Linked DNA regions of Arabidopsis thaliana. The protein of the gene in region 2 interacts with the protein of the main gene of each other region in a biochemical or structural test. Each region holds a gene or a part of one and is shown on either strand. Other genes may lie near its edges.

What was found.
Region 1: the proteins of ABI1 (region 2) and HB6 form a complex in vitro, tested with the Arabidopsis thaliana proteins (one study listed by BioGRID).
Region 3: the proteins of ABI1 (region 2) and PYL13 form a complex in vitro, tested with the Arabidopsis thaliana proteins (one study listed by BioGRID).
Region 4: the proteins of ABI1 (region 2) and RCAR1 form a complex in vitro, tested with the Arabidopsis thaliana proteins (one study listed by BioGRID).

The regions. Positions count from the first base shown.
Region 1 is NC_003071.7:9,523,622-9,532,033, reverse strand, and holds HB6 (homeobox protein 6), read left to right. Parts: upstream 1-4,188; 5' UTR 4,189-4,421; coding exon 4,422-4,491; intron 4,492-4,570; coding exon 4,571-4,950; intron 4,951-5,078; coding exon 5,079-5,564; 3' UTR 5,565-6,046; downstream 6,047-8,412. Other genes in the region: RIBA2 (riboflavin biosynthesis protein), read right to left, coding at 1-22, 118-440, 531-752, 838-1,147, 1,331-1,380; AT2G22440 (non-LTR retroelement reverse transcriptase), read right to left, coding at 2,117-2,562, 2,800-3,124. UniProt on the Arabidopsis thaliana protein: Transcription activator that may act as growth regulators in response to water deficit. Interacts with the core sequence 5'-CAATTATTA-3' of promoters in response to ABA and in an ABI1-dependent manner.
Region 2 is NC_003075.7:13,217,960-13,226,843, reverse strand, and holds ABI1 (Protein phosphatase 2C family protein), read left to right. Parts: upstream 1-4,467; 5' UTR 4,468-5,015; coding exon 5,016-5,564; intron 5,565-5,634; coding exon 5,635-5,925; intron 5,926-6,056; coding exon 6,057-6,162; intron 6,163-6,254; coding exon 6,255-6,613; 3' UTR 6,614-6,929; downstream 6,930-8,884. Other genes in the region: RPS2 (NB-ARC domain-containing disease resistance protein), read right to left, coding at 1-2,248; MEK1 (MAP kinase/ ERK kinase 1), read right to left, coding at 7,149-7,244, 7,338-7,383, 7,467-7,690, 7,799-7,981, 8,081-8,305, 8,392-8,526, 8,613-8,697. UniProt on the Arabidopsis thaliana protein: Key component and repressor of the abscisic acid (ABA) signaling pathway that regulates numerous ABA responses, such as stomatal closure, osmotic water permeability of the plasma membrane (Pos), drought-induced resistance and rhizogenesis, response to glucose, high light stress, seed germination and inhibition of vegetative growth.
Region 3 is NC_003075.7:10,251,126-10,257,853, reverse strand, and holds PYL13 (PYR1-like 13), read right to left. Parts: upstream 3,496-6,728; coding exon 3,001-3,495; downstream 1-3,000. Other genes in the region: AT4G18630 (hypothetical protein (DUF688)), read right to left, coding at 1-676; LSH9 (LIGHT-DEPENDENT SHORT HYPOCOTYLS-like protein (DUF640)), read right to left, coding at 6,485-6,728.
Region 4 is NC_003070.9:138,517-146,181, forward strand, and holds RCAR1 (regulatory component of ABA receptor 1), read left to right. Parts: upstream 1-3,353; 5' UTR 3,354-3,621; coding exon 3,622-3,765; intron 3,766-3,907; coding exon 3,908-4,123; intron 4,124-4,194; coding exon 4,195-4,398; 3' UTR 4,399-4,745; downstream 4,746-7,665. Other genes in the region: AT1G01355 (Putative endonuclease or glycosyl hydrolase), read left to right, coding at 1-25, 81-262, 347-598, 687-829, 972-1,052; HTR12 (Histone superfamily protein), read left to right, coding at 5,257-5,308, 5,418-5,461, 5,548-5,593, 5,677-5,711, 5,799-5,835, 5,931-6,043, 6,411-6,488, 6,616-6,691 and 1 more. UniProt on the Arabidopsis thaliana protein: Receptor for abscisic acid (ABA) required for ABA-mediated responses such as stomatal closure and germination inhibition.

The DNA.
Region 1 (8,412 bases), on a different chromosome or scaffold from region 2:
TCTCTCTCTTTTCCTTCGGTATCTACCAGAAATCAAGAGGAAAACATCAGTAACAGAGGGAGTTGAGTGTTCTTAATCCAAACACCAGTAGCTGATCTTGAATTGAATGTATTGTACCTGATTAAATCAGCGATTGAAATTAATTTCAAGTTGTTCTCTTGAGCGAATTGGCGGAGTCTTGGTAATCTAGCCATGGAACCATCATCATCTACAATCTCACATAAAACAGATACTGGTTCTAAACCGGCCAACACAGTCAAGTCAACAGAGGCTTCTGTATGCCCTGCTCTTTTAAGAACACCACCTTCTCTGTATCTCAAAGGAAAAATATGACCAGGACGATTGAAATCTTCAGGTTTTGAATCTTTTGATGCAAGGGTTAATATTGTTTGCGCCCTATCACGAGCTGAGACACCTGTGGATGTTCCCTTTTTTGCGTCCTGGCAAATATTTTCAACATTCTTTTCATCACACACCACTAAGAGTCTTGTGGTTTTCTCAACACCAAAGAAAAACATACTTTTACTCACCACTGAAACCGTGAAGGCCGTGCGGAGTTTTTCCTCGTTATCCTTACGCGTTACCATTAAAGGAAGCTCTAACCTCTCCAAGTCTTCGCCTTTCATGCTCACACACACGATTCCAGTCCCATGCTTTACAACAAAAGCCATAGCTTCAGGTGTAGCCAAAGATGCCGCCATTATCAAATCTCCTTCGTTTTCTCTATCTTCATCATCTACAACAACTACCATCTGCAAGAAAAACGCAAAGCTTTCTCACTTAAGACCTTCCCCTTCTAATAAGACAGTAAGCAGACACGATGCTACTATTACAAACCTTGCCATGTCGAATATCTTCAATAGCTTGAGGAATAGACGCAAATCCATCAGTAGGTCGATCTAAATCAAACTCTTCATCCTCAACTTCAGGAGAATCCATTGTTGTAGGAATCATTTCAGCTGCTAATGTTCCAAACGAAACCAAATCTGGCTGTAACTCAATCCCCATTGATGATCCATTACTCTTAGAAGAAGAGAACACATCTCCTTCCTCAGGTATCACTCTCATTCTAACATTAAACTTCTTCGATATGATCCTAGGATACACCAAGCTCGTTCCAAATGGTTTTGTTCCCTTGACAACATCACTGAAAAACCCATGAAGACAACATAACCATCAAAACCTAAATACATAGATATGTGTTTCAATTGAATCCAAAATCGAATCATAAGCAAACGTAATTTCAAATTCCGAATGATAAACAGATCTAATCAAAAACTATCAATTCAAATTCAGTGAAACAGAGAGAAATACAATTCAATTTGATTACCGGGAAGGCAAAAGATGCGTCGAATCGCACCGGAGAGTAAGCGACGCCATTTTCACCGGAGTTTTGAAGAGAGAGACGACGAGCTTCGAAGAGACTGAACCACCGCCGTAGAATATCACTGTGTGTGTTTTTCGCCGGTGATATTTTTTGGTGTGCTGACGTGGCAGTTGTATAGATATTTTTCCATTTATGGGTAAGCACGAGCGGAACGGCGTCGTTTAGGAATTGAATACGATGTCGTATTAGGTGGAAACACAAATCCCCATTGAGATCATCTTGTGTCGGTGCCTTGACTCGTTTTATTTACGTTTCTATTACACAAAACGTTTTTGATTGGATAATGATTTTCTTCACCAAATTTACACCTTACTTTACAGTTTTCCTCTTTTATTTTTTTTTATAAGAATGGAGCATTGTATCAAAATAGAAAATCGAGTAGATTTTGTTGCATTTTTTTTTTTTTTTCTTCAAACACCATTTATATTAAGTTATCGGGAAGAGACTCTCCGCTAGAGAGAGCCATTTAGGAACCAATGTGCTTACATGGGAAAAAAGGCTATTGCGAGCCCGAGCTTTCTTAGCTAAACAATCTGCTCGAGTATTAGAACTACGAGAAAGAAATCTAATACGAAAAGAAGGGAAAAAACAAACTAAAGAACGATATGAAGCCAATTCCGCTGCAAAAGTCAGCCAATCGTCTTGGTTATCAAGGATAGCAATCAAGTCTGAGCAATCCGAAGCAAAAGTACCAGAAGTATCACCAATAGAGATCATGCACTCCATTGCCTATAACAAAGAGTTAAATTCCGCATGAAGCGGTGATAAATTTCGACGAGTGCTCTTAAGGCCAAGGTGGATGACCAAGTCTTGTCGAACAAGTACCCAACCATGCCCGCTCAATGTGTCATCTACATGCCATGATGCATCGAGTTGACATTCAGGGAGCAAGGTGGACGGGGTCTGAGAAGAACCTACGAACACGATTGGACGAGTGGAATCATCCTCTTTTAGAGTTGCTTGTTTCCAAACAGCTGTCTCTTGAAGTGCCAAAACCAAAGTTTCAGGGGGAGGTTCCCTGAAGTTCTCAAAAACAAAACGATTTTTACTTTTCCAGATATACCAAATTATCCATGGAAAGAGTTCCAACACCTTTTCTCCAATTCCAAATTCTCGGTCACGCCAAAAAAGGAAGTCGAAATTATAGAAGAGAGAGTTTCTAGGGAAAATATTCCCTGAGGTAGGAATAGGCGATAAAGCCCAAATCTGTCTCGAAGGTGGACAATGAAACAATAGATGGTTGATTGTCTCTTCTACTTCTTCGCAACGGGGACAACCTTTATCTGTACCCATATGGCGATATGTCAATCTTTGACAAGTGGCTAAACAACCCGAGATACATTGCCACACGAAATGCATAAGCTTCCGCGTAGTTTTAAGCTTTCATACTTGTGCCTGAAGTGCCGAAACACCTGGTCCCTGAAAAGGGGGGTCACAAGTAGGACGAGAAAGATCTCTCGCGACCCAATATCCTGACTTAACAGTATAATTACCGGATTTAGTGTGAGACCAGCTAAAGCCATCACTCAAGTAGGTACGACTTGGGCGAATCCCTAAAATGAGTGGAATATCAACGGGATCGATCAGTGCTTGGAGACGGTCCAATTTCCACAAATTTGTGTTTTGGTCAATTAAATCATTGACATAGAGTAGAGAATCTCTTATGTTAAGAATGCTCTTTGCAGGCCGCGCTAGGATAGTGGGAATCCATGGATCTTTCCATACGCGAGTCAGCATTCCAGAACCTATGGTCCTCCGAAATCCAAAGACAAGAAGAGGTTTGGCGCATTTTCACCTCTAAAATAAACACAATTTCATGTTGATATTAAGGTTGTTAGTTTCGATCCAAAAGAATTATTTTGACTATAGTTAAGATGATGTTATACCTAAAAAATATAATTTACATTTTATAAAGAAAACAAACTAATTATATTATCAATGGATGATACCGGATATAGGAACTTATAAGGTGAAAAAAATCAAAGAACCAAAAACCCAAAAACTTTCCAAATATATAAGAGAATATAAATATGTTTTGGAGAATCAAAAGAACCTAACCCAAATAAAAAGAAAGCAAAAAACTCACTCTTGTTGCTGTCATCGAGGCCCAACAGCTCTTGTCTCATTTTTGCATTGCCACGAAAGTCATCACCCTATAACTTTAATTTATAAATTTTTTAATGGGTTAGAGAAAATAAAAAACGCATATAATCCAATTATTACAACTTTAACAAATTAAAGAAGACATGATGATTAGATTACCATGCGAATAAGACAAACATATTTTGTAAAATGTTGTCAAAAAAATATCTCTAAAGCATTCATGATTTTAGCATTTAACAAAATAATTCTGATAACCAATTTTGTTACACACTACTATAAAACTTCTAAACACAATATTGTGATGTTATAATAACTTTTACATGGTGAATAGACAATTTCAAAAGATTAATAAAAAGAAAACTCGATTATTCAATTTTTAAAAATAGATTATTAATTTAACACAGAGATTCCTTTCCACGTATAGCTTGAGTGGAGCTGAGCCGATTAGTATAAGCCGAGCCATATTATATCCGTTTGAGATTAATTTTATTTTAATTGATTTTTTAATCTTCTCTTACACGAGTTCCAGTGATACCGGAAGAAACCTGGAGGTAACTGGGTATAGCCGGTGGACCCCCTCAAATTTATTTTAACAAAAAAAAAAAAATCATTTACAAAAGAAAACACCCAAGACAATATCTACTTAACCATGGTTACTTTCTAACCCAACCTTTGAGTTTATTTAAACTGAGAGAAAGTGTGAAACCAAGCTTGTTCATATGGAAAACGCTCATCAACCTCAACAATCTCTCTCCTCTCTCTCTCTGTATATAGAAGAATCTCCATTGTCTTTAATTTCTCTCCATTTCTCTTTCTCTCTTCCTTCAAAGTTTTCTCTTTTCTTGATGGGTTTAAGAGAGTAAAGATCATCAAGTACTATGCATTAAATTGAGAAGTTATTAAAAATTTCGAAAGTAATTAAAGATTGTTGATGATGAAGAGATTAAGTAGTTCAGATTCAGTGGGTGGTCTCATCTCTTTATGTCCTACAACTTCCACAGGTACTTAGCTAATTTTCTAAACAAGTCCTTTAATTAATCTCATCTTTGTTTGCTAATTGTTCTTCTTATGGAATTACAGATGAGCAGAGTCCGAGGAGATACGGTGGGAGAGAGTTTCAGTCGATGCTTGAAGGATACGAGGAAGAAGAAGAAGCTATAGTAGAAGAAAGAGGACACGTGGGCTTGTCGGAGAAGAAGAGAAGGTTAAGCATTAACCAAGTTAAAGCTTTGGAGAAGAATTTTGAGTTAGAGAATAAGCTTGAGCCTGAGAGGAAAGTTAAGTTAGCTCAAGAACTTGGTCTTCAACCTCGTCAAGTTGCTGTTTGGTTTCAAAACCGTCGTGCTCGGTGGAAGACAAAACAGCTTGAGAAAGATTACGGTGTTCTTAAAACCCAGTACGATTCTCTCCGTCATAACTTTGATTCCCTCCGCCGTGACAATGAATCTCTCCTTCAAGAGGTATAAAAATTCAACCTTTTTGATAAAAGATTGAAACTTTTGTTGATTCAAAGTTAAAAAAATTGAAACTTTTTACCAATCTTGAGATTTACAAGAGAATTGAAACTTATGGTTTTGGTTTGATGCAGATTAGTAAACTGAAAACGAAGCTTAATGGAGGAGGAGGAGAAGAAGAAGAAGAAGAGAACAACGCGGCGGTGACAACGGAGAGTGATATTTCGGTCAAGGAGGAAGAAGTTTCGTTGCCGGAGAAGATTACAGAGGCACCGTCGTCTCCTCCACAGTTTCTTGAACATTCTGATGGTCTTAATTACCGGAGTTTCACAGATCTACGTGATCTTCTTCCATTAAAGGCGGCGGCTTCTTCATTCGCCGCCGCAGCTGGATCTTCAGACAGTAGCGATTCAAGCGCTCTGCTGAATGAAGAAAGCAGCTCTAATGTCACTGTGGCGGCTCCGGTGACGGTTCCAGGAGGTAATTTCTTCCAGTTTGTGAAAATGGAGCAGACGGAGGATCATGAGGACTTTCTGAGTGGAGAAGAAGCTTGTGAATTCTTTTCCGATGAACAACCGCCGTCTCTACACTGGTACTCCACCGTTGATCATTGGAATTGAAGCTGAAAACACCACCGGAAGAGATTTTGGATTGGATTAGATGCTCTTTTCTTCTCTGTGGAAAAAACAGAGGAGGGCAAAATGGGAATAAAGTTAAAATTGAAGGGTGAAAGGGCAATTAAGGAAGGGTTAAGTCTGGGCGGGAATAATGATTTAGGGTGAATTTGTAATTATGCTTTTTCTCTAGTGATTTTCGTGCACTTCTTGTAATTAAGGATCATCAGATCAAAGAGAAATTGAGAAGGGGTTAACATGTCAAAGGCAAAAATTCAGCATGGGCTCTTTAAATTACAATTGACCCTTGAAACCTAAATTATACCACTTCTGACCCTTAAATCAATTTTTGAATCATAAAACTACAGTGTGACTTCGTGTATTTAGTTCTAGTGTATTATGGGATTTTTTTCAAAGAGAATGCACCTCAAAGTCTCAGCTTTAAGTCTAATGTTTGGGTAAAAAACACACCGAACTTCAGATCCAAAACCTCTTGATAGAAAAAACAAAATAGATGTGTTATACACTTTTTTTTTTTTTTTGAATCTGTTAAATATACTTTTAGTGTAGTTTGTTTTGTGATTTGAATTAAAACTTTAGTATAAATCAATTTATTACATTTTCGATTACCGGAAAGTATTCATGTCATTAAGGTTTATTTAGTTCAAACTAATTTTTTTATTTCATTCTGTCTTATTTGACCTATAAAATCTAATTTAGCTTAAAAAGGTATTGTCATGTACCACTAATTTATAATTACTAACTTATATACTTTAATTAGTGATATAAGGTGAAACTTAGCAGTAATGACAACAAATAAAAGATGAAGATATATACTTAAAGGCGGTAAAAGATGATAATAAGAATCCGACCAAAAAAAAGATGTGATAAATAAAAAATAGATTGTACAATAAGTTTTAATAATATTTTAAATAATCATAAAATAAAAAGAAATTTGTTTTAATATTTTCTTACCAAAACCTCAACATAATATAGTAAAAAGCCAATAATACAAGACTTTGTACCGTCAGTTTTTTTATGATTTATAAGACCTAGATTTATAATATAATTCAATACCACTGTTATTTACTATAGCTTTGATTGATAATTTATTTGGGGGAGAAACTTTGACAAGAGAATTGGCACGAGGTTATGAAGATTTTTGGAGAAAAAACATTGACAAGACGAAAAAGTTGTTGCTAAGATACAGCTTCCAAAATGCGATTTATGCCATCAGAAATGAGCGAAACAAAAAAAAAAGACATGGAGAGCAAACTTCCCATCTGGAGATGCTAGCAAAGATAATAGATAAACATGTTTGAAACCGTCTAAGTACCATGAAGTGTGTTAGAGTAGAAATGCATACAAGCAAAATTTAAGTCTGGTTTGCGTCTATGCACTAGTGAAAGAAGTTGTGTCTCATTTAAAATGTTTCAAGTAATTGGTAATTATTTGTAAAAATGTGTATTTTTTTGAATATAATTTAACACTAAATTCAAAAAAGTAAAAAATAATTTGGGGTATACCTCTTAGCATCTTATAGTGATAAGTTTTTTTTCTTAACAATATGCATTATACAGATTTAAATTGATGTAGTAACACAATGACTTCATTAGTAAAAACCTAAAAACTACTTCATTATAGAGGTTAAATTCCTCAAAACTGTATAATGTTATTATTTAAACACTATCATTAGGTTTGCTGTTCAGATTTGATTTGATTCGAATTCGAGTTGTCTCGGTTTGTGTAACCAACAGTGTATTGATTGTTAAAGAAAACTAATTATGCTTAAAGGTAAACCGGCAAAGCTTTGGACCACCTCGAATAAGATCATTATAATAATAATACCGGAATCTTCTAATTAATTAGAATTCTTAATGCATCTTTGATTCTTTATATCTTTTTTACTGTTAGATCAACTAAAACATGTCGATGATCAGATCTTCCTATAACATTACTGTGTTAGATTTAACAGTACGATGTATATAATTTCCTGTGTTTTATATTCAGTTATTCACCTTTCTATAGTTTAATCACAAAGCAGGTTTCTTGTGATTGGGCTAAAGACACATTTATGTTGTGAATTGTTTGCTCAACGCATACAATATATCCCAATATACCTAGAGTCGAAGATAGGGAATAGAGTCTAGCTAAGAGATACTATAGTACATGCTACATCGAGGAACATAGATAATCAATTTAGACTATTAAATCATTATGGACCAACTATCTTCAAATTTTGAATATCTAAATTGTTGAAATCCCGACTCAAAGTTACATCAAATTAGCACTTATAATCACTCACTAAAAATAATGAAATAAAAATGAAGAAAAAACTTGATTTCGATATTAACTACTTCTGAAAGAATACCTAAATCTCGACCTCATTGTAGAAATTTTTTTGTAATAGATTTTTTTCTAATCTTTCTGTTTTTCTTTCTCTAAGAGCATTTCCAACTCATATCACTATATTTTATTTTTTTCCAAAATAGAGTAATTTTAATTTGGAGTTTGGGTTTTACTCAAAATAAAGTTTTGAGATAAACATGGAGATAGATCGGAGATCATCTAAGAAAAATTTGCATGTGGTCCAACCAGGGGATTGTGAAATCGAACAGGTTACAAATCAACAACAAAACCAAATACCTAATTAGTTTGGTTTTATGTTTATTCAAATATATTTTTGTGTGTAGGTTTAAAGATTATGCATAACCGAGATGTTGATACTCGATAAAAGTTTTGATATCCGAAAAATAGTTTTTGGTTTGGTTTGCAACTTAATTTTTTATTTTTTTAAGATATTGAGATATTTATTTTGAATCAGATATTTAGCTTTTCACCTATTTTTAAATGG
Region 2 (8,884 bases):
GAACCTCTAGACTCGGAAGCCAATCATTTTCAAAATCTGCGGGTGTGACCAGGTACTCCAAGTCATGGCAACTTTTAATGCTAAGTCTTCTCAGGTTCCTGCCATGGTTAGTGAGTGATGGGAGATTGAAGTAGAGGAGTTCATTGCACTCTTCAACGTGGAGATGCTGTATATGTTTATGCAAAGCACCGAACTCGAAGAGAGTTTTTAGGGTCTCCAATGAGAGAACAGTGATACCGAGTGTGGTTAGGTTTTCCAAGTATTCCAAGTCAGCGAATCCGAGTTCTTCTGCTTCATCTTCTCCAAAGCTCTGCAGTTCCCAACCGGCGTAACTGTAGTACAAGTTCAGAACCTCGAGCTTGCTCAGCCAACATATGGCATCTCGTGGGATCGTCTGAAGAAACTGAGTTCTTTGTAGGTCCAGATGCTTCAGTTTTCTAAGATTCCCAAGCTCCTGTGGCAATACACTTATCTTTGTTCCTGACATAGACAGATGATACAACTCCACCAAATACTTGATAGACAACGGAATCTCAGTGATACTTGTGAACGACAAGTCCAAGACTCTGAGAACAGGCATATGCATGAAAAACCCTGTTGGAATCTTCTTCAAAGAGCTGTTCTGTTGGAGCATCAGTGTTGTCAGTTTCGGGCATATGAGTTTTTCAGGCAAGGTCTGGATTCTGTTATCTAACAATGAGATCACCAACGCTTGTCGCCAGTTTTCTGCTTTAGGAGCTTCAGTATGTCCCATGCTAGGCTCAACTAGGATCAGCTCCTTATAAGTCCCCTGTTCAGATGCCATCCACAATGCAAAGCTTCTGACCACATTATGCATCTTCACCTGTGTTTTCTCATCTCCGGTTTCCAACAAACATGCCGCTTTCAGATCCCCAATGAGAAAATATCCCTTGTAAATGGTGTTAACGCCATGGGAGCTGGTGAGAAACCCTTCGCCGACCCAGTACTCAACAAGCTGCTCGATCTCTATAGAATGTTCTTCTGGGAATAAAGCGCAGTACAAGAAACAAGACCGAAGCAGATCACTCTCGAGGTTGTCGTAGCTGAATTTCAAAAGGGCAAATACATAGTTCATACCCTTCATCTCTGCTGGAAATCTAGTCAGAACTTCACTAGCATGGATCCACTCTTCTTCTGTCTCTCTATGAGCCATGGCTCCTCCTAAAGTGATCAACGCTAGTGGCAATCCTCCACATTTACTCACTATAATCTCCGCGAGCCGGCGAATTGATGATGACTCTAAAAGATCTTTTCTCCATACCTTACTACAGAACAGCTCCCACGCGTGTTTCTTCTCCAGAAACTCCACTCTCAACTTGTATTCCGCACCCATATTGTTGCATAATGCTATAGACCGTGTCGTGAACATCACCTTGCATTTGTTTTCCCTGTCAGGTCGAGGAACTCCAGTTTTCTCCAAGTCTATCTCTTCCCAGACATCATCTAGCAACAACAAGAAACGTTTCTGTCTCAAAGCTCTGTATATCTTCAAAGCTCTGTTTTCGCCGGTCTCCTTCTCGTCCCAAGATAAACCCAACCGTGCTCCAACGGCTTGCTGAATTGTACACTCGCCGAATTCTCTGGACATTTGAACCCAAATCAGTACATCATACTGATGTCCTTTTGTGATCAGCTCGTTGTTAATGCTCTGCATTAACGTTGTCTTCCCAACCCCACCAGGTCCATAAACACCAATGATTCCTCTTTCTTCTTCTTCACTGAGAAATTCCAAAACCTGTTCCATCATCGTGGTATTTCCGACAACGGACTTGATGGGTATCTCTCTACAAGTTACTTGAATTGACCCGCCATCTGTTTTGATAGCTTCAGAGCGTTCTCTCAGCTCACCAATGCTCTTCAATATGGCAGAAACCTTCTTGCACAGTTTGTAGTCGGCACAACCGAAACAACTGAGGTATCTCCTCCTCATTCGCGTCCTCTGTTCCCGACGCCTAAACCTCACTAAAAGTAGGGCTGTTTTAGTCTCCGTTACTTGCACCGCACTAAGCCACTCTCTGGCACGATTTGAGCAGCTTCGTCCCTCTAGACCGTCTTGTTGGATCCGTAAAGTCAGGTCATCACGTATGGCCTTCAAGTCACCGATGGCTGTTTCAAGATCAGTGATGGCTTGTCTAAGATCAGTCTTATGTCCTCTTCTCTCCGCCATATTCATAGATTCACACAACACCTGAGCACAGCCAACGATAAGAGATGAGATGAAATCCATTTCGATGATTTCTCGCTCTTTCTTTTACTTGTCTGAGCTAACTAACTAATAAAGATGAGGTGTTGACTCATAAAGATTAAAGTAAAGTCAACTTTAATAAAGCTGTCTTGCTTGCTTGTATGACTTGGTTCAAGAAACGAGTAGAGAGAGATAGGAATCTTCCTCGAAGTCTCGAACTGTTGTTTGCATGCTTGTAATTTCTACTGGCCAAGTGAAGGCCCGATAACAAAATTGGCCCTCTAAGAGCCTTTTAATGCCTATAGGGTTTTTTTGTTGGGTCAACAATTCCAATGATGGTGCATTTTTTTTATGTTGAATATATACAAGATTTGTTGCATATTAAAAAGACTGGTCAAGTAAAGTGTTTCACCGAAAATGGGAGACATCAAGTACTTATGAATGATGATATATGTACCGTTCTTTAGAATTAGTTCTGTGACTTTATTACGAGTTAGAACAAACCTACTTCTACTTCTCTTATCCACTTTGCCCGCAATCGCAAGGAAAGCTAACAAATTCAATTAATCACACATTAAACAAAATAAATTACTAGTGTTCATATTTGTCTCGGCTTTCTTCTCAGTTTATCTAAAAGAAATAGCTTTCAATAAAAAATCAATGTTTTTTCTACTTTTGTAATAATTTGTAAAAAAAAAACGGTAGATGATTGGTACATTGTATTTGAGGTGTCTTGGGTATTTTGTCTCTTGCCCATCATCCAAAGCCCACTTTCACACATCTCCCATATGAATAACATATCATTACACATTGTCCAAAGAAAACCGCACAAGTGGCATCAAACATATGGAACATGAATAAATACTTCTTTTTTATCTATCTGTTGACGAATAAATATTTATTGAGATATTAGAGAAAATAGAATAATAATGAGGAGAGGAAAAAAGAGAGTTTAAAGACAAGATATTTACGGAATTTAATGGGACGAAAGAAAAATAATATAAAAGGGGGACCTGTCTTTGTCAGTGCAATGAACCTTTTTTTCTTTCGATCAAATCTCTCCCGCCACCCAACTAACACATCTTAAACCGTACACGTCACCCTCTCTCCTTCCCATTTTCTTCGTCTACGTGTCGACCATCCACCGGTTTTTGTTTTCTGCTAAACGTGGGACCTATTCACATTTTTATTTTATTTTAAAAAATTGGACGGATTCTTTCATGTTCTTTGGGTCGTTGCATAATTATGTCCATGAGTCTATCCATCAAAATACCTTCGGAATCATCTTTTTATTTTATATATATACTGCGACAACAATAATTTTATGTTTTGTACTGTCTTTTCTGGTCAATAAAAAAAACTAAAAATTTGGTCGAATTTAATGGACTTCCATGACCAACTCTTCATTTCCCTTAAGGATAAATTGAGAAGAAAATTATATACTGGAATTTGAAAAAGCTTTATATAATTGTAACGTATTTTTATAATTGCACGACAAATCTCTTTTCTTGATTTTTTGTATGAAACTACAAAGACCAATTTTTCTAACAACTAAGATTCAGTTATTATTTTTGGTCACATAAATAAATGAGACGATAACTTCATAATGGTTTTGGTTTTGAGTTTGACCAAAAATGGTTTTCAAGATAAATAATTAGATGAATAATGAAACGTACCCCTTAAATAACAATTATTTAGATATTTTACCGGTGGTCTTTCATTTTTCCCGAATATAAAACATTGAATTCTTATCTAAAGGACAAAGTATTGTTCTTATTCTGAAAATGACACAAATTTAAAATTTTTATTTAAATCTATGAATATCTAAATGGTATATTATGTTTGGTGTTTTTTAGTCCAATGATTAGGAATTACGAATAATGTTTTCGTAATTCAAACTCTATTTATTTAGATTGAAAACTATATGACAAATAAAATAATTGCAAAACAATACAAGATTTAACTCGGACTACGACACGTCATTTAATGAAAGTCATCTTTATGAAAATATAAAATCCATTAAACTGATGACCTAACTAAAGTTAAAAGCAAACATATTTTATTTTGTTTGACAAACAAAAAAGAAATATATTTCTCCCAAAGAAAAAAAAAACCAAAAAACTTTATGTTTGTTAAAAAAATAAGAAATGATAAAAGCATTTTTTTTAAAAAAAATGTTGAATATAGGAAGTCTGAAGCAAGTGTCTTTTTATGAATTAAATAGTTTAAAATTTCAAGAACGAAACATCTCCCCTTATTACAAAAAATAAATAAGCCAAAAAAAGTATCACTTTAATAATGTAATAAAATAAAGTGATATGTATATAAGTATACATACATAAATAGTAGATTCGAAGCAATTGTTGCATTAGCCTACCCATTTCCTCCTTCTTTCTCTCTTCTATCTGTGAACAAGGCACATTAGAACTCTTCTTTTCAACTTTTTTAGGTGTATATAGATGAATCTAGAAATAGTTTTATAGTTGGAAATTAATTGAAGAGAGAGAGATATTACTACACCAATCTTTTCAAGAGGTCCTAACGAATTACCCACAATCCAGGAAACCCTTATTGAAATTCAATTCATTTCTTTCTTTCTGTGTTTGTGATTTTCCCGGGAAATATTTTTGGGTATATGTCTCTCTGTTTTTGCTTTCCTTTTTCATAGGAGTCATGTGTTTCTTCTTGTCTTCCTAGCTTCTTCTAATAAAGTCCTTCTCTTGTGAAAATCTCTCGAATTTTCATTTTTGTTCCATTGGAGCTATCTTATAGATCACAACCAGAGAAAAAGATCAAATCTTTACCGTTAATGGAGGAAGTATCTCCGGCGATCGCAGGTCCTTTCAGGCCATTCTCCGAAACCCAGATGGATTTCACCGGGATCAGATTGGGTAAAGGTTACTGCAATAACCAATACTCAAATCAAGATTCCGAGAACGGAGATCTAATGGTTTCGTTACCGGAGACTTCATCATGCTCTGTTTCTGGGTCACATGGTTCTGAATCTAGGAAAGTTTTGATTTCTCGGATCAATTCTCCTAATTTAAACATGAAGGAATCAGCAGCTGCTGATATAGTCGTCGTTGATATCTCCGCCGGAGATGAGATCAACGGCTCAGATATTACTAGCGAGAAGAAGATGATCAGCAGAACAGAGAGTAGGAGTTTGTTTGAATTCAAGAGTGTGCCTTTGTATGGTTTTACTTCGATTTGTGGAAGAAGACCTGAGATGGAAGATGCTGTTTCGACTATACCAAGATTCCTTCAATCTTCCTCTGGTTCGATGTTAGATGGTCGGTTTGATCCTCAATCCGCCGCTCATTTCTTCGGTGTTTACGACGGCCATGGCGGTTCTCAGGTAAAAGATTGGATCTTTTGATTAGGGTTGTTTACAGTTTGCAGAATCTGATTTGGTTGTTGTTGTGTAGGTAGCGAACTATTGTAGAGAGAGGATGCATTTGGCTTTGGCGGAGGAGATAGCTAAGGAGAAACCGATGCTCTGCGATGGTGATACGTGGCTGGAGAAGTGGAAGAAAGCTCTTTTCAACTCGTTCCTGAGAGTTGACTCGGAGATTGAGTCAGTTGCGCCGGAGACGGTTGGGTCAACGTCGGTGGTTGCCGTTGTTTTCCCGTCTCACATCTTCGTCGCTAACTGCGGTGACTCTAGAGCCGTTCTTTGCCGCGGCAAAACTGCACTTCCATTATCCGTTGACCATAAAGTAAGCATATATAGACTCAAGATCTATAGTTGGATTGGTTGTGAACTTGTGATAGGTTTTTAGTTTTCAAGATGTTGAGTTAGAGAGGTTTATGAAACCATTTCTGATGTGTGCTTGTGTTATGTGTGTAGCCGGATAGAGAAGATGAAGCTGCGAGGATTGAAGCCGCAGGAGGGAAAGTGATTCAGTGGAATGGAGCTCGTGTTTTCGGTGTTCTCGCCATGTCGAGATCCATTGGTAAGCTTTCATTATATTTCTCCATAAAGCTTCTCAATGGTTCTTGAAATAGAAGAAACCTTTCTTCTTACAAACATTTATCATTGTGACAGGCGATAGATACTTGAAACCATCCATCATTCCTGATCCGGAAGTGACGGCTGTGAAGAGAGTAAAAGAAGATGATTGTCTGATTTTGGCGAGTGACGGGGTTTGGGATGTAATGACGGATGAAGAAGCGTGTGAGATGGCAAGGAAGCGGATTCTCTTGTGGCACAAGAAAAACGCGGTGGCTGGGGATGCATCGTTGCTCGCGGATGAGCGGAGAAAGGAAGGGAAAGATCCTGCGGCGATGTCCGCGGCTGAGTATTTGTCAAAGCTGGCGATACAGAGAGGAAGCAAAGACAACATAAGTGTGGTGGTGGTTGATTTGAAGCCTCGGAGGAAACTCAAGAGCAAACCCTTGAACTGAGGCAGAGAGGGTCCTTTTTCTTAATTTTTAAAATGAATATGGGTCTCTCCAAGAAAAAGTATTTACTATTATTAATTTGTGCTTATTTTTTTAACTAACAAGTTATAACCATATGGAGATAATGAAGCTTAATGTGTTAAGCTCTTTTGTCTTGACTACATTCTAAAAAGCCCCTTGTATTTTTCTTCCCGGGCTAATTGTAATATGGTTACAACATACATTAAGATGTAGTATTATTGTTTATGCAATTACTTTCAAAACTTTACATACGAAAATAGAAAGATACTTAAACTATGTACAAAACAAAATGTGTATAATGATATGAACTACTATATAAGTATATCCACCACTAGCAGAGAAACATAACTGATGATAGTTGTGTTTATAATAGTGATGTGAAAAGTACACACATTAAATCAAATTTTGTAGACAAGTCTCTTAAGTCATAACATCTCGTAAATTTATCTTTCATAAAATCTCTTCTAGTGGATATGAAATAATAACTTGGAGGTTAAAAGATTGTTCAAACTCGGTTCTAGTTAGCAAGTGGGGGAATCAAAGATCCTGCGTCGGTGAAGTAAGCCGAGAGATTTGTATCCGAATCTTCAAACATCTTTACGAACTTGTGTTCCTATTCACCAAGATGGAACCAGAAAAAAGATCGTTAAAAGTAGTCCAAGACAGTACAAGGTGAAAGACTCAGAGTCTTATATGATTAACGCACCAGAAGCTCCTTTGCTGATTTTCTGTCCCTTGGATCTTTTTGTACACTACACAAGTTAAAGCACCATTTCAAATGCCTACTCGTTATAGCAACAAAAATGACATGACAACTGGTCGAAATCTGTCTCACCATTGCGAGATGAAGGAGCAAAACTCTGGAGAAAAGAGATTGGAAGGTGCACAAGGAGGCGGGTTTTCAACAATGGCGTCCACAAGCTCGTACACGCTACTCCATCCTTTCTTGTGTTCTGGAGGAGTATACGGGAATTTACCCGTTGCACATTCGAGCAAAACCAGTCCCAAGCTCCAAATATCGCTCTTGTTACTGTACAAACTCCCGCTGATTCTCTCTGGCTGCAAAACATGATAACAACACCAGTAAGTCGTATAAAACCACTTGTAACTCTGAAAATTGAGTTTGTATGTATATTGAGTGTTGAGAGGTGAATGGAGGAGACTCACAGACATATAAGGGTATGTGCCCACGAAAGAATTAGCAAGACTACTTGTGCTTGTCAAGATCTTGCTGACACCAAAGTCTGTGATCTTGACTTCACCTCTATGATTGATTAGCAAGTTTGAAGGCTTTAAGTCCCGATGAATGATTCGCCTCTCATGATGAATATAACAAAGACCTCGAAGAACCTGCGTTTAGTAGAGAAGAATGAGCTTAGTTATGTGTTTTATTAGAGAAGATAAAAATAGAAAACCGGTAGAGATGTTTAAAGATTTCGCGTAGAGTACTCGCTTGCAGATGGCAGATAGCATGTTTTCAGGAACTTTTCCGACTTTCTTTAACAAGTCTGCAAGGGATCCACCATCCATGAATTCCAATATGATTGAAACAAGACCGTTGTGGTAGAAAGATTGATAACATGAGACAAGATATGGACATTGCGAGCTCAAGTTTATTCTCAGCTCCTGAGAAATCGCCCGACATGTTGATTCTTCTGTGTTCAATTGAATGACCTGAAAATAATATCATGTATCTTTGTGAACCAAGAGAGAAGAAAACACTAGAAAAAGAAGTAACAACAAGAATCTGAATCAACGACCTTAAGAGCGAAAAACTGTTGAGTGAGTTTGTGTTTGACCAACTGGACATTACCACTACTTCCTTTGCCAATGACTTTGATCACTTCTAAATCTGCCAAACTCAATTGGTTGTCCAATGGCTCAATAGGAGGTGGCTGCAAAAACCAAAAACATCCAAATTCAATCATGGAGTTACATAATGTACGAAAGGAAGTGAGATCTCATGAATAAACAAACTTACAGCTCCTGGTTCGGACAGAGACACGGTCTGGATTCCATCTTTGTTCACTCGAAGATCTCCATCTTTAAACGTTCCACTCTGTGTTCTAATCCAATTTTCAATGTCAGAAAACTCCATTCAAACAATTTCAATTCCTAACAATGATTACACAGTAAAAGACTGTAGAATCACTTGTGGTATGAAAACAAATCCTAGAAACAGAGAACAGTGAACTCTGATTTGCAGAATAAAACAGAGTAATCACCAACTATAAATCTAAATCTGAAGAATAA
Region 3 (6,728 bases), 3.0 Mb from region 2:
CATCATCATTCTCGTCGTCTTCAGTATCATCATCAATGTTTAAGTCATCGTAAAGACTCTGAACAATGGCGAAATGTTCATGTTCTGCAACCAGTTGACTTCTTTGACGAGCTACGAGAGCTTCTCTGTTCTGAGTGATTAGCTTCTGCTCTGAAGAGTTATAAGAAGATTGATGTTTCTGATGTGTCTGAAGAGCCATTGCTTTAGCAGCTGGTAAGAATCTTGACATCATTAGATCAAGACTTTCTCTAGACTTCTCATCACAATCAGATCTCTCACCGGTCTTCTCGATTTCGCTAACTCCACTTGTGCTGCAGTTAACAGAGAAGCTTACATTTGAAGAAACCGTATCCAAATCTTCATCTACTTCGTCTTCTTCTTCATCATCGGTTTCTAGTAGACCTGACTCTTGAATCAATGTAGCCATGTCATCTTTTGGTTTTCCAGGGATTTGTTCCCACATAAAAGGAATTGAAGCTGGTTCTGTGAGATGATCAAAGCTCTGGTCTGGTAATACAAAAACCGGCGTTTCTTGTTTTGTGCTCGGACATGATCGAAGCTCTGGTCTTGTAATCGTCGTCTTCTTATTCTCTAACTCACTTGAACGCTCTATCATAGACGGAATTCGCCTGATTGATGGTAATGGAGCATACAAATTCAATTTCTTTCCCTCCATTCTTGAAAACAAAAAGAAGGAAGAATAACAAACAGAGTCTTTGTTTTGTGTATCTCTTCTCTTGCTATGTGTTTGAGATTGTAGTTGTTCTTATTAAAGTAAGAAAATCGGAAAAATAAGAATAGAGTTAATGTATTAATATATGTGTGTAAATGATTGCCGAATGTCTAGGACCGAGATTGAAGGCTGGAGTTTAGGAAAATAGCAGATGAATCTATTATAAGTGTGCGACTAAAGAATTGTCAATAAAGAGACTTTCTCTTTAACCTTGTGTTTGGTTGTTTTCATTTCTTATATAAGTTATAATTGAGCTTAGAATAAATCCCATCCCCCACAAAGATTTGATTGAAAATTAATGATGAGATATTGAGATCAACTACTTTTCTTTTTGTTGGAAATTTTATGTATTGTGAATACATAACGATGTCGTTAGACATCGGAGTACAAGAAGATCAGAGACACAAATTTGGCCCTAATAAGGTGAAATATTCCTCAAGGCAAAACGTGAGGAGTAGTTGTGGTTCAAGTTTCAACTGTATTTTTTTTTTCTCTAAAAGTAATGAAACAAACAAAATAAAAGAAAAAGTGAGAAAAGACATTTATGTGAGCCAAATTACCGACTTTGGTAATGTAACACATGTTGTTGTGTCCTTTTCCGAGCCACGCAACGTCGTTTATAATGTAAGCACTAATTTTCTTTTCTCCGAATGCACCACTAATTGTTTACTTTGTTTAAAGTCTTTGAAAGAAAAGTCGCGGCATTCGCCTCGACGGATGATGGGGCTCGATTACGATATATAATTTAATTACTTTGAATTACTCATAACATTCCAAAAAATTGACTTATAATTTGCTAAAACAACCGGCCTTAGATATTGACTATAAATTAACATTTCACTTCTAGATTACATAGTGTATAGTATATTACTTTTAGATTATGTAATTGTTTTCTAGGTAGTATAGTAATCGTTTTAAGAGGAAAAAACATTACTCGGCCACCTCTTTCCGTCTCCAATATTCAAAACTTTGATTTTTAATTGCTAAACAAACAAAAAAAGAATGAAGAATAATAGTATGAAAAATGAGAGAAAAACTAATAGAAATGGTATTTGAAGAAATTTCTTTTAATCATAACTTAACTATCTGTTTGTCGTTACTTATGTTTTGGTAGGTACTACATTTATTAATAACCAATTCTTCAAAAGTGTCTATAAATAAATTAACGACTGGTCAAGCGAACATTTATTCTAATCTATCTAATACAAAAAGAGGAGGAGAAACCCATGAAAATTTGTAAAGTAGACAATAACTTGAGAAATATACACCTGAGAAAAAAATCGATTTACTGAAAGAAAGTGAAATAAGTTTCGTTGACCAAAATCCCTAAAATTGCGGGAATGAAAAGGACAAGGGAATAAGTATCCTTCACGTGGCAACCACTCACACTCCCCCACCAACACCCAAGCTTTGAAATAGCAAGCCCCACCAACACCCAAGCTTTGAAATAGCAAGGCCCAATAGTCCATTCATAAAGGCCCAATTCCCGAAAAAACATGAAAATTTCCAATCTTCACCGTTATATTTAGATCAATAGAACCTCTATTTTGTCTTTCACCAACTTGTTCAAAATAAATTATATCTGTTGATTCGGTCGGTTTTTGATAAAAACACACCAAAGTATTATAGAGTAAACCACTCCATTAGTTCAACAGCTCAATGATTCAACGGACATCATAAATTCATAACCTCCGAACAGATTTGAGTCAAACGGCCATGAAATTCACGAGATCTACAGTTTAGGTCATCATACTTTCTGTTCTGAGTGTAAAATACCTTCCAACCTAATAATATTATACTAAAGTATTGATATTAATTAGTTTAGAACTTCAAATTAAGAATCTTACATGATGCCCTTTTACTATGCATTATGCAAAATGGACAAAGAATTATCAAGAAAATTTTCAAACATGTATTTAGTCTAACTTTTGTTGTCAGCAATACAAATCAGTATATTTAGTAACTAAACCAACTGAGTCAACAATTTAAAACCATTATTTCAAAGATTCCTAATTGTAAAAATGTAGAAATAACCTTCATTTTATTTCTCTTCATAAAAGAGTAGGAGAAAAGAGACAATTACAATCACGGAAGAAAGAAACCACACGAGCATATTATTCCGATTCTTTATATTTTTATTATTATTATTGCAATGCTAAAAGCCTTAAAGATTAAAAACTAATCCATAACGATCCATTTTTTTCTTAATCCAATGATTCATAACTATAACTACGATTAGTTTATTGATTAGCTTAAACATATAGAGCTTACTTCATCATTTTCTTTGTGAGCTTAGCAAGTGAAGTAAGGTTATACCGAATAATGTTATCAACAAAAAATATTGTATCTTCCTCGCTAGTTCCTTCCGGCACATCCACCACGTAACTCTCCACCACCACCGTCTTCTTTGCCATATCCTCCGGCGACGCGACCACCTTCGTTTTCGATTTGTAATTAACAAGCCTATGGTTACCGCCAATAATACTTACCACCATCACGTGAGACTCATCATCTAGCTCTTCGAGCCTCTCCGTGCTGAAATCCGCCGGGAAGCCGGAGACTAACGTCACGTCCCGGACGGAGCCTTTTCCTTCTCCTCCTTTGCCGCCGCCGCCGCCAGAGCGCATGGTGCAACTTTTGACGAAACGTTGATAAGCTTGTGGTTTGTCGAAACTACGTAGGATGGACCACACTAGTGGTAATGGTGCTTCAATGGTCTCGACTACGCTAGAGCGACATCGTTTTTGCTTAGAACTTTCCATTTTCTGTTTTGTTTTTCTAATGGGTTTGTCTTTTATCGACGTGTATTTTCGTGTCTTACTTTAGAATTTTCGTATTCACTTGTTTTAAAGCATATCGAACGAATCTACGTACATATAAATGAAGGCAAGCCACCGACTAAAATATTTTTATAGTGTTTTATATTGTTTAATTTATTTACGAATTCTTCATGTAATATTAAACTTTAGAGTTCGATTCGAATTCTTCTTACTATATACTAACCAAAAAACATTTTACAATATAAACTTGTACACAAGTATTGACTGCCTTGTATAGTGAAAAATTACACAATCTTGTTGGCATATTTAGAAACTTTCTTTTGCTTTTTGATAAAAGGCTTGCATATTCTGGAACTTGGTTTTATCAAAAAGATTAACAAAACCATCTGTGAAGGGTATTCTGACAAGAGTGATAGGGAATATGGTTTTAACAAACCCTCTTTGAAGGTTTTTCTTTTGACTATATCAACCATTTAAACAGAAAGAGAGATATACGAGTATCTTTTCACGAAGAATTAAATATCTTACCAACTGATAAAAATTACCAATATTATATTAAAATCTAGTCGGTCTATTTTGGAAATTTGCTGCAGCAATGTTTTGGAGCTAAATATAGATAGATGTGTCATTGCCCACGAGGTAAATACAGATGTCATTTAAACCGGAAAAGCACACAATGGAATTTAGCGAAACACACACTTGTTTACAAACATAACAGTGTTTCTCTTAATTGGTTGCCGACCAGAAAAAAAAAGAATCCAATCTTTTTTCCTTCATAAGTGTAATGTTCTACGTATCCAATCCGAGAGCCATGCAAGTTCTACATATCCAGGGTAGGCATATTCAATGTTCCATCAGTCTATTGCCTATTAGAAATAAGGCCCGTATAAGCCCAAACTTTAATGATGATATTTTCCATTTATACATTTATGCTTCACCCCACACAGCACAAAATCCATTCTGTTTTGGTTTTGGGTTTCAAACTATCCAGTCCGTTTGTTAGTCCTTTTCTTGGCTTTGGTTTTATGTTTAGCCTTCCTAGACTAAGATCATGTTTAACGGCCGGCATTGTGTCACCTCCATGGTTATATAAATAACAAAAGTTTTAGATGAAAAAAAAAACTCAATTCCAATGTGTAATCTGTAAAGACATGAGATAAAATGTAATAGATTTTTTTATATATATTTATAAGTGGATTATAAAGGTAAATTGCAAATTAAAAATGGGTAAAGATATGAAGTAAAATAGAATAGATTTCCATAAGTGTATTATAAGAATAAAAATAAAATACATGGAACAAATTATATTTGGATTTAAGTATTAAAAATATGACTTAATAAACTTATAAAATTCAAATTATTCTTCTCTTAGATATCCATCTCGAGAAACATGGACATGATGACTATTTAAAATCCAAATTTTCATAAATTGCGTCTTAGAGTTGTAGCATATATGGGAATTGAGCTCAAGCTGAAATATATACATATATTGTTGGGGCTCACAAGTCACAATCAAAAACAGAATCGCAATTTTGGTATTTCTCAAACTTGCTTTCTTTATGGTAAGCAAGTGAAACCAATGCCCATTGCCACCCTCTGAACAATCTTATCGGCACCATTGATAAATTGTTTTGCAACCGTATCACAACTTTCTGTGTTATTAAGAATAAAAAAAGTTCGAAGGTAATGGAAGTTGTTCTAACAAATGGAGTTCACTACCTTGTAGGTTAATAAAAAAAAAACCTTTGATTGAATGTCTATTTATCCGGTCTAACAGAAAAGAATACGTCAAATTTTTTATTTTTTTTTATCTCTATCAGTAAAATTATTTATTGATGATCAACAAATTTTTACACTCAAAGAAAATGAGACGGGCGCAAGTAAGCCGAGTTAATTAGCAACTACAGTAGATATGATAGATCAAAACTTCCGATTTGTAACAAACCGATACTTCCAAACTCATGAATAACATATAGTATACTAGTATATAAAGAAACAGGGCAACATGGAATCATATTAAAACAAGCTTATGCTAAAACTCATGGCTCCAAGCCATCATTATTAAATACTATGGTCTATGGCTAATATATAGCTAGCTACAAAAGCTACAAACATATATTAATTGACATATATGTACATCACTATATATAGCCTCTCTCCGGATTCTAGGGTTTCGGAAAACTCTTTCTACCGACTCGATCGTTTTAACTTAATCAATTGCCGGTTCGAATCCTAAGTTCGTTTTATATAAATCCTAATTTGGTAATGCTAGCGCTTATTCAAAATGTTCGTTTTTTTTCCTAATTGCTTGAGTACTTATTTTAAACTCATGAGCTGTTTATTTACATTATTGGGCTACACTCGCTAGACCTTGTAATCTAGTTCCCCATATTATCATGCTTCCAATAGAAAATAATTATATAATAAAATACATATATACATGTACATATTTGTATAGGTGTGCATATATATAACTATATATACATAAAAGTAATGCTTAATTGTATATACATTTAGTGTAAGAAATATTATTTACTTACTTGTGCATTTCAACATGTATTCCAGTGTATGTTTATACATCATGATGCATGCAACGTACAGAAATGTTGTCATTTAAATACATTCACAGTTGGGACACACTCTAATTATTATAGCTAATTAATAACAAAAAAAGCTACATTTGAAAGATATATTATTCTCTCTTAATCATATCCAATTTTGAGTACAAAATTAGTTTAGAAATATATATACACACACGCATTAGGGTAAGTAAGTGACAATAGAAAATCGGGAAAATTTGATGGAATCAATCACTATTATTAATCCGATATTATAAGTTTTGTAGTCTAGATATCCAAAGAGAATAATTTCAATTTTTTTAAAAGATCATACGAAACTTTAAATTAGAGAGAAAAAAAAGAGAATTGAAAATTGATTACCTATATTGGAAATTTTTTATATGATAAATTTATCAAGTGAACGACTGATTAGGAGTCGAAGAGTTTGCAACATCCTTCTTGACAACAACGACCTCGTTTTTAGTCTTCCTCCTTTTCTTCTTCCTGTACGGAATCCCACGAGCCTTGGCTTGAGATTCTCTCACTTCCCTCAAGTGAACCCGGATCGACCCGTTTGCAAACGGGTTAGTATCAGGTGACCCGCCACCGTGTTCCTCGTAAGCAGCTCTTAGCCGTCCGATCAAAGCATCTAGGCTT
Region 4 (7,665 bases), on a different chromosome or scaffold from region 2:
GGAAGGCGAAGGCTGTGGCCTGTGGGTGAGGTCGTGCCAAAGTCTAAGGCTGTAACACGCGTCTGGTGGGACATCAACAGGTGTCCGGTTCCGGCTGACGTTGATGTTCGCAGGGTCGGTCCGTGTATAAAACGGGCTTTGGAGAAATTAGGCTACTCTGGTCCTCTCACCATCACTGCCGTTGGGATACTAACAGACGTCCCTCATGACTTCCTCAGACAAGTCCATTCCTCTGGAATCGCTCTTCATCACGTTCCCACCGGTTTATATCTTCTCATCCTTCATTTTCTAAAATTAGGGTTTTGCTTCTATTTGCCCTTTTTGTTTTTGTTTTTAAGTCTTATAGTTTCCGAAACAGCTCTCTCAGGGATTGGGTGGGCTGTGGTTAAGTGGACCTGGTATAATCAACCTCCGGCTAATTTAATGCTCATATCGTACGAGCATATCTACTTGACCACTCTTGACATGCTAGGTAGGATCGGATACAACACTGTTCGGTCTATTCTTCCAGATGATCCTCAACAAGCCGCATCCTCCGCCTCCCCTTCTACAGGGTCTTTCCTCTGGGAAAGCTTACTGGCAAGCTTACCAGCAGCAGGTCCTTGTCCTCTCTCTCTCTCTCTCACACTCAGTACAGTGTTGAAATAGTTAAGCTGTGTCTGACCTAGTTATCTCCACGGACGCAGATGATATGGATTCAGGGGCACCTCAGGAGGACAAGTGCGGCGAGATGGGTGAACCTGCCTTGCTTTGTGAGCAATGCAGATTTACTGTCCAAGGCTTTGAAAACTTCTCCACGCATCTCAAGAGTGAAGAACATGCACATGAAGTAAGCATCCTAGCCAAAAACGCAGACTTGTTGTGTCCATTTGAGTCAACAACCTCTTACCGCGAGTTTCCCTTTCTCACTTAATTCTTCCAGTTATGTTTTGCCTAAATTTGACCCCATATTTTGTTTTGTCAATGAGCAGTCTCAATACTACCGTAACGAAGATGATGAAACCGATGGAGACGACTACGTACGAGACTCTGAAGACGACGAAGAAGAGTAGTAAGAGTTGTGTGTGTGTTAATGTTATCTTAAGCTATCTAATCCTTTTTATGTTCAACATCTTCTAAATCCTCGTAAACTCTGGTTTTCTTTGTGTGTTAACTGATAATAATGGTGTTATCTTAAGCTATGAGTAGTAGTAAGAGTTGTGTGAGTTAATGTTACTGATTTCTCCAACGAATTTGCTTTTTTGGAGATTTTGTCCCAATGAACTGCAACAACAAAAGCAACTGGTGAGAAAATGATGACTTGTTTGAATTGTGTTAGAGTTCCAGATACATATGCTAGAGATGCAACTAGAAACTGGTCATATCTCAGCTTAAAATAACTACAAAGAGCATAACAAGCTGGCTAATACTTAAAAATGTAAAATCAGATTCAACAGAACCCAATGGTTTTGTGTGTGTTTTCAGACCTTTAGATTTCGCAAAGCCCACCAGAAACAATGGTTGCAAATACTTTCTTCTTTCTCAGTTCTAGTAAACTATAAGCCGAAGCTGTTTTTGCTTGTATTCGTTTGCCCATATTGTGATGGTCTTTAAAGATTGGGCCTTCTTTGGTTCATCTAAATTTGAAGCTTTTTCCTTTTGTTAAATTTGTTGAAACAGTCAAAGTTAGATTAAACCAGGACAAATGAATGAAACGATAAATTCATAACTTTTTACTGCCAGCATTATCAGAAGAATGTCGTTAATGTTGTCTTTTTTTCTTTCACTTCCGTCTGTTTTTTTTGTGGTATTGGTTAATTCGAAAAGATTCGGAACCTATTGGCCGGCAAAAAAGTTATCCAAATGAACAAAAAGAAGAATTACACGTGTCAAGTTCACGAGAAACGACATAATACGTGAACATGAAAATGACAGACAATAAACCAATGAAAATATGACACGTATATTGGTTTCCTATTATTTAACCGTATTTAGCTCATTGTCGCTGTCACTAAAAAGGCTCCTTGTTTTTATCTTGAAGCAGTTAATAATTTACGCCAAAGTCGTCTTTTGCGTTTAAGTTCGCATGCCTAGCTAGTGCCAAAGGTGATCCTATCCGATAAGCTTTGTTTTGGGTAAATTTTTATCTGATAAGGTTACTGTAATTATCGTCAATTACCGCTCTTTTAAGTACTATATTATCACTTAACATTTTTTAAAAAATATGATTGCAGAAAATGTTATATATAAACTAAATCCCTATTTTATCATAACGTCAATTTCAGACAATTAATGAGATATGTAAGCATAAACCATATTCATATTGAACAAGAAAACCTCCGGTTACAATTATATGTGTTGTTTAAAATGGTTACAAAATCGGAAGATTGTTCGTTATGAAAACCTTAAACCATAATTAATACATATGTTAGAAGATAATTAGATAAGTAATCATTTAACTAGATTTATCTAAAAAGTGATTATGTTGTTTTTGTTTGAGAAAACCAAGTAAAGGTGAGTCTTTTCTCCTTTGGGAAAAACAAAAGTAGAATTCAAAAAAGAAAGAAATAGAATTCACTAATTATATAGTAATCCATTAATATTACTGGTTAGAAAGCGTAATTAGCGGCGGTGGTTATCAAAAGTGACTTCCACCATATGTTTCGAAAGCTTGAGTTTCACGAAGAAGATGGAGGAGGGGCAACTTTAGACTAGTGGAGATGAATCGAATGATGATTTATTGTAGATTCTTTGTGGTATCTCATCTTTCCTTCGTATGAGGTGTGATTCACAACAAATACAATTTAACAAAAACTAGTTTGTCTACATTCGGTATGATATAATTAAGGACTTTGTCTCAAACAGATTAAAGTTCTTGTTTCATGATTTTAGATTGTGGATGCCTTGTACCAATCTTCTTGTAGAAATGCCTTCTCCTCCTAGAAGAGAAATTACACCTTACGTGTCGTACATGACTACATGGAACAGTCACTTTGCAGATAGGATATGGTGTTAGACATTTAGCTTGATACAATTAATTAATGTTTAACAACAAGGTTTAAAGGCAACGAGAGCTATATCTAATAAGATGTGGTCTAAGACATATGAGACCTGATACATGGAGAATCACTCATTTATAAATTTCTGGTATATTAACGACATTTTGTGTCTAAAAAATTAGCTATTATAATGAATATGGTCTAAAATTGAATTTAAATTAACAAAACTATCTATAAAGTTTGAAACGATCTTACCTAATCAAAACAAATAATTATCTAAGCAATCTGTTTTGTTTTGTTCGGATTATATAGGTCCCCAAAACGTCATACAATAAAACTTGCTTAAATATTTTGTTTTTTTGTTACATTAAAAAATTAGTATCTTGTTGTGTTTTTGTTTGGTTTGAAAAGCTGAAAATGTGTGAAGGAGAAGAAGGAAGCTATAAAAAAGAGTTTAGGTACAAAAGTAAAAAGTTATTATGTCGGTGGGTTCATTAAAAGAAACCAAAAAACATAAACAAGTAATTTTGTTTTGGCATAACGAAGCATCTTCTTCTTCTTCCTTGTATTTATTATCCATTTCCAGAGATTCTCCCTTGTGAGATAACAACGAAGAACGAAAGAGAGAGAGAGAGAGAGAGATATGATGGACGGCGTTGAAGGCGGCACGGCGATGTACGGTGGTCTCGAGACGGTGCAATACGTACGGACGCATCATCAACATCTGTGCAGAGAAAACCAGTGTACCTCTGCTCTTGTCAAACACATCAAAGCTCCTCTTCATCTCGTAAGCTTCTCCAATCTACCACTAATTTCACCCTTTTCGTACCATTTTCTCCATGATCCGTCAATTTTGATCCCAACCATCGATTTAGGGTTTTTTCCCCCAAATCTCTGTTTAACGATTGATTATAATTGATTTTTTTTAGGTTTGGTCACTTGTACGGAGATTTGATCAGCCGCAGAAATACAAACCGTTTGTGAGCAGATGTACAGTAATCGGTGATCCTGAAATCGGCAGTCTTAGAGAAGTCAATGTTAAATCTGGTCTTCCTGCAACAACATCTACTGAGAGATTAGAACTTCTTGATGATGAAGAACACATCCTCGGTATCAAAATCATCGGTGGTGATCACAGACTTAAGGTACAGCGAGAGAAATCAAATCTCATTGATGTTTGTTTATATGCAGATTCTCATTGATTGTTTGTTTGCAGAATTACTCGTCGATTTTGACGGTTCATCCGGAGATAATCGAGGGAAGAGCAGGAACGATGGTGATTGAATCGTTTGTAGTTGATGTTCCTCAAGGTAACACAAAGGATGAGACTTGCTACTTTGTTGAAGCACTTATCAGATGTAATCTCAAGTCACTAGCAGATGTTTCTGAAAGATTGGCTTCTCAGGACATTACTCAGTGAACTACATAATCAATGAACAAGGGCATTGAAGTGAAGTATCAATTCCAGTTTGTGATATAATCAATATTCTTCAGGATTTTTTTGGTTTGGCCTAGATATATATATAGATATCTATCCTCGGTAATGACCAGTCTAAAAAGATGTACATATTGTCCCAATGGTGAAGTTTTGATGTAAGATATCTCCTGGTGGTTTGTTATTTGTAGATATTTTTGTAAACAATGTAAATGTGAATGGTTTATGATGTATAATATATAGTTCACAAAAGATGTTTCTGTAGACTTCAGATTCCACTTCTCTATTGAACAGAACCTATGATTGGATGCTGAGAACTTGTAAAGAATCTGAGGCAGAAAGTTGAAAAACTGTGTCAATTTCATTAACTTGAAAAGATGAGCATAAATTGGGAGAGAGAGAGAGAGACAAAGATTTTGAATTGAGGTTTAACGGTAAAACACACAAAACCTATTCCCCTCTGTTTCCAATTTTCATCTAAACAAACAGGTACATATTTGAATGTAATATTGTATACAGACCAGGGGTAAAACAGGAACTAAAGAAGGCTAACAATCGAGTCGAACCCTCTATGTGAAGCCACAGGTTTAGTGCAAATTGTAATAAGTTGTTCAGAGAGACTCTTGACTGAAACAAATTGTGAAGCAGATTCGATTTTAAAATCAAAATTTGAGTGTCGAGCGGGAAAGTAAAAGTTCCGCTCCAATCTTCTAATCTTTTCGTATCTAGCGGGAAATTTCTCAGCAGGTGACTTTCATAATCGCAGTTTTCGTCGATTCTCTTTTCCGATTTTACGATTCCTCTCTCTCTCTCATGGTGCGATTTCTCCAGCAGTAAAAATCAATGGCGAGAACCAAGCATCGCGTTACCAGGTCACAACCTCGGAATCAAACTGGTATCTTAAATCTGCTTTCTCTTTCAATTTTTACTTCTGATTTTACCCAGAATTTTAGGTTTTTTATTTCGATTTTGTTAACCCTAGATTTCGAATCTGAAATTTGTAGATGCCGCCGGTGCTTCATCTTCTCAGGCGGCAGGTCCAACTACGGTACGGCATCTTTTTCCGTCTTAGGGTTTCCAATGTTTCTTCCTTTTATCGTTATGATCAAATTTGTTTATCTATCGAAATTGAAGACCCCGACAAGGAGAGGCGGTGAAGGTGGAGATAATACTCAACAAAGTGAGTTTTTTATATTTGAAGTCTTTTTTTTCCCTCTTTTCATCTCTTTTGTTTGTGAAGTTATTCTTTTGTAACATCTGCAGCAAATCCTACAACTTCACCAGCTACTGGTACAAGGGTAAGATTTTTGTGACCATTGCTTATGAACTGCTTCAACTTTGATTTCGTTATTAAGCTGACAAAATTCTCGTTTTGGTTTGTCAAGAGAGGGGCTAAGAGATCCAGACAGGCTATGCCACGAGGTTTGTTTTAAAAAAAAAACCAATCTCTTGTGATATCCCTGAGAATACAGGACACTTAGTGTGTTTAAAACTAATCTTCGGTGTTGTCCTTGTAGGCTCACAGAAGAAGTCTTATCGATACAGGCCAGGAACCGTTGCTCTAAAAGAGATTCGCCATTTCCAGAAGCAGACAAACCTTCTTATTCCGGCTGCCAGTTTCATAAGAGAAGTTAGTTACTCTTTTTCTTACCAGCCATAATAAGTTTCACAGCTTAACAATATTCATATATACTAACAGAGGCACAAGCCTTTTGGTGTTTAATGTGGCTAGTTTTAGGATTTGCACACCCCACACATATCTGAGCATCAATGCAGTGTACATAGTGAGTGATATAGCAATTTAACTAAAATTCAGAGTAATCGTGAGGCCAACCCTCCTTGTTTAAGGAGTGTGTAATCTAGTTTGTCTTTGAGGTTATGAGCTCATAGATTCAGAACCATATGATTCCTGTAGCTACAAAACTCAACATGAATCGTCAGTGATGTGGAAATGCTGATTTGTGTTACAAACAAACTATTTTACATTGTTTTTCCAGGTGAGAAGTATAACCCATATGTTGGCCCCTCCCCAAATCAATCGTTGGACAGCTGAAGCTCTTGTTGCTCTTCAAGAGGTACCAATCCTTCAACTTTTTCTTTATACGAATGTATGAATATAGATATAGAGATAGTCACACATTTCAACTAATGTCATTCCCCTTGATGACCAATCAACCTAATCACACAAATTCTTTGTGGTAGGCGGCAGAAGATTACTTGGTTGGTTTGTTCTCAGATTCAATGCTCTGTGCTATCCATGCAAGACGTGTTACTCTAAGTAAGTACTCTAAAAGAAGACATTTTTCAGTCTCAACTTAGGAATCACAAGCATACATTTTATATCCCTTTGAATCATTAGTTACTTGAATATCATATATAAAATGCTTATCTATATCTGTTTTTTGTTCATATCAGTGAGAAAAGACTTTGAACTTGCACGCCGGCTTGGAGGAAAAGGCAGACCATGGTGATAGAAAACTCACTCACTATTCACATCTCTTACATTGTAAGTGAGGATCGAATAGTTAACAACAAGTGTGTCGTAGGTTGTATAAGGTTATTCTCTCCTTGTCTCTTGGTGATGCATGTCCTTTTATTTTACTAAATGATCTGACCAAAACCTTCTTTTGAAACATAACTGGAAACCCGAATTTGGTTTGATTCCAATATCTAGGCTGTAAAACTTCTTTCTCTATGTGTGTTTCTATCTGCTTTTCGTTGGATCTGATTGTTTTCCATTGAGATTCCACTTGACAAAAACGTTTCTTTCGTTAAGTTCTAACTTCCAAAGGTTCATGTATATATAATTTGAAGCCTCAGTTAGAAAGGGTTGTGATTGAAAGAAGAAAAAAAAAGTAAGAGGAAGATTTGAAAGAACATGTGTTTTGGGAGGGCTTTAGTAGAAATATCTCTCAGACGAGTGACGAGTGGATTCCCAATTACAACTTGTCAAGGCATATTAAAAAGGTTGAGATATCCTTAGCACTTCAAATTTAAATAATTCATATTGATTTTTAGTGATAATTCGCATAAAACATTTGTGATATCATAGTGTTGTCACTAAAAAAAACACTATAAATTTTCGAAAAGCTCGAATTTCGAATTTGGTGATATTTATTTCATTGTCAACTCTTTTAAGTTGCCTCTTTTTCTTGGGTTCTCTATAGTCTCTTTTGTTTTGTTTTTTACATCCTTTATGATCTCTCTCTGTACATTCGTAAAAATTGAATGCAGACCGAAAAAACTAAACAG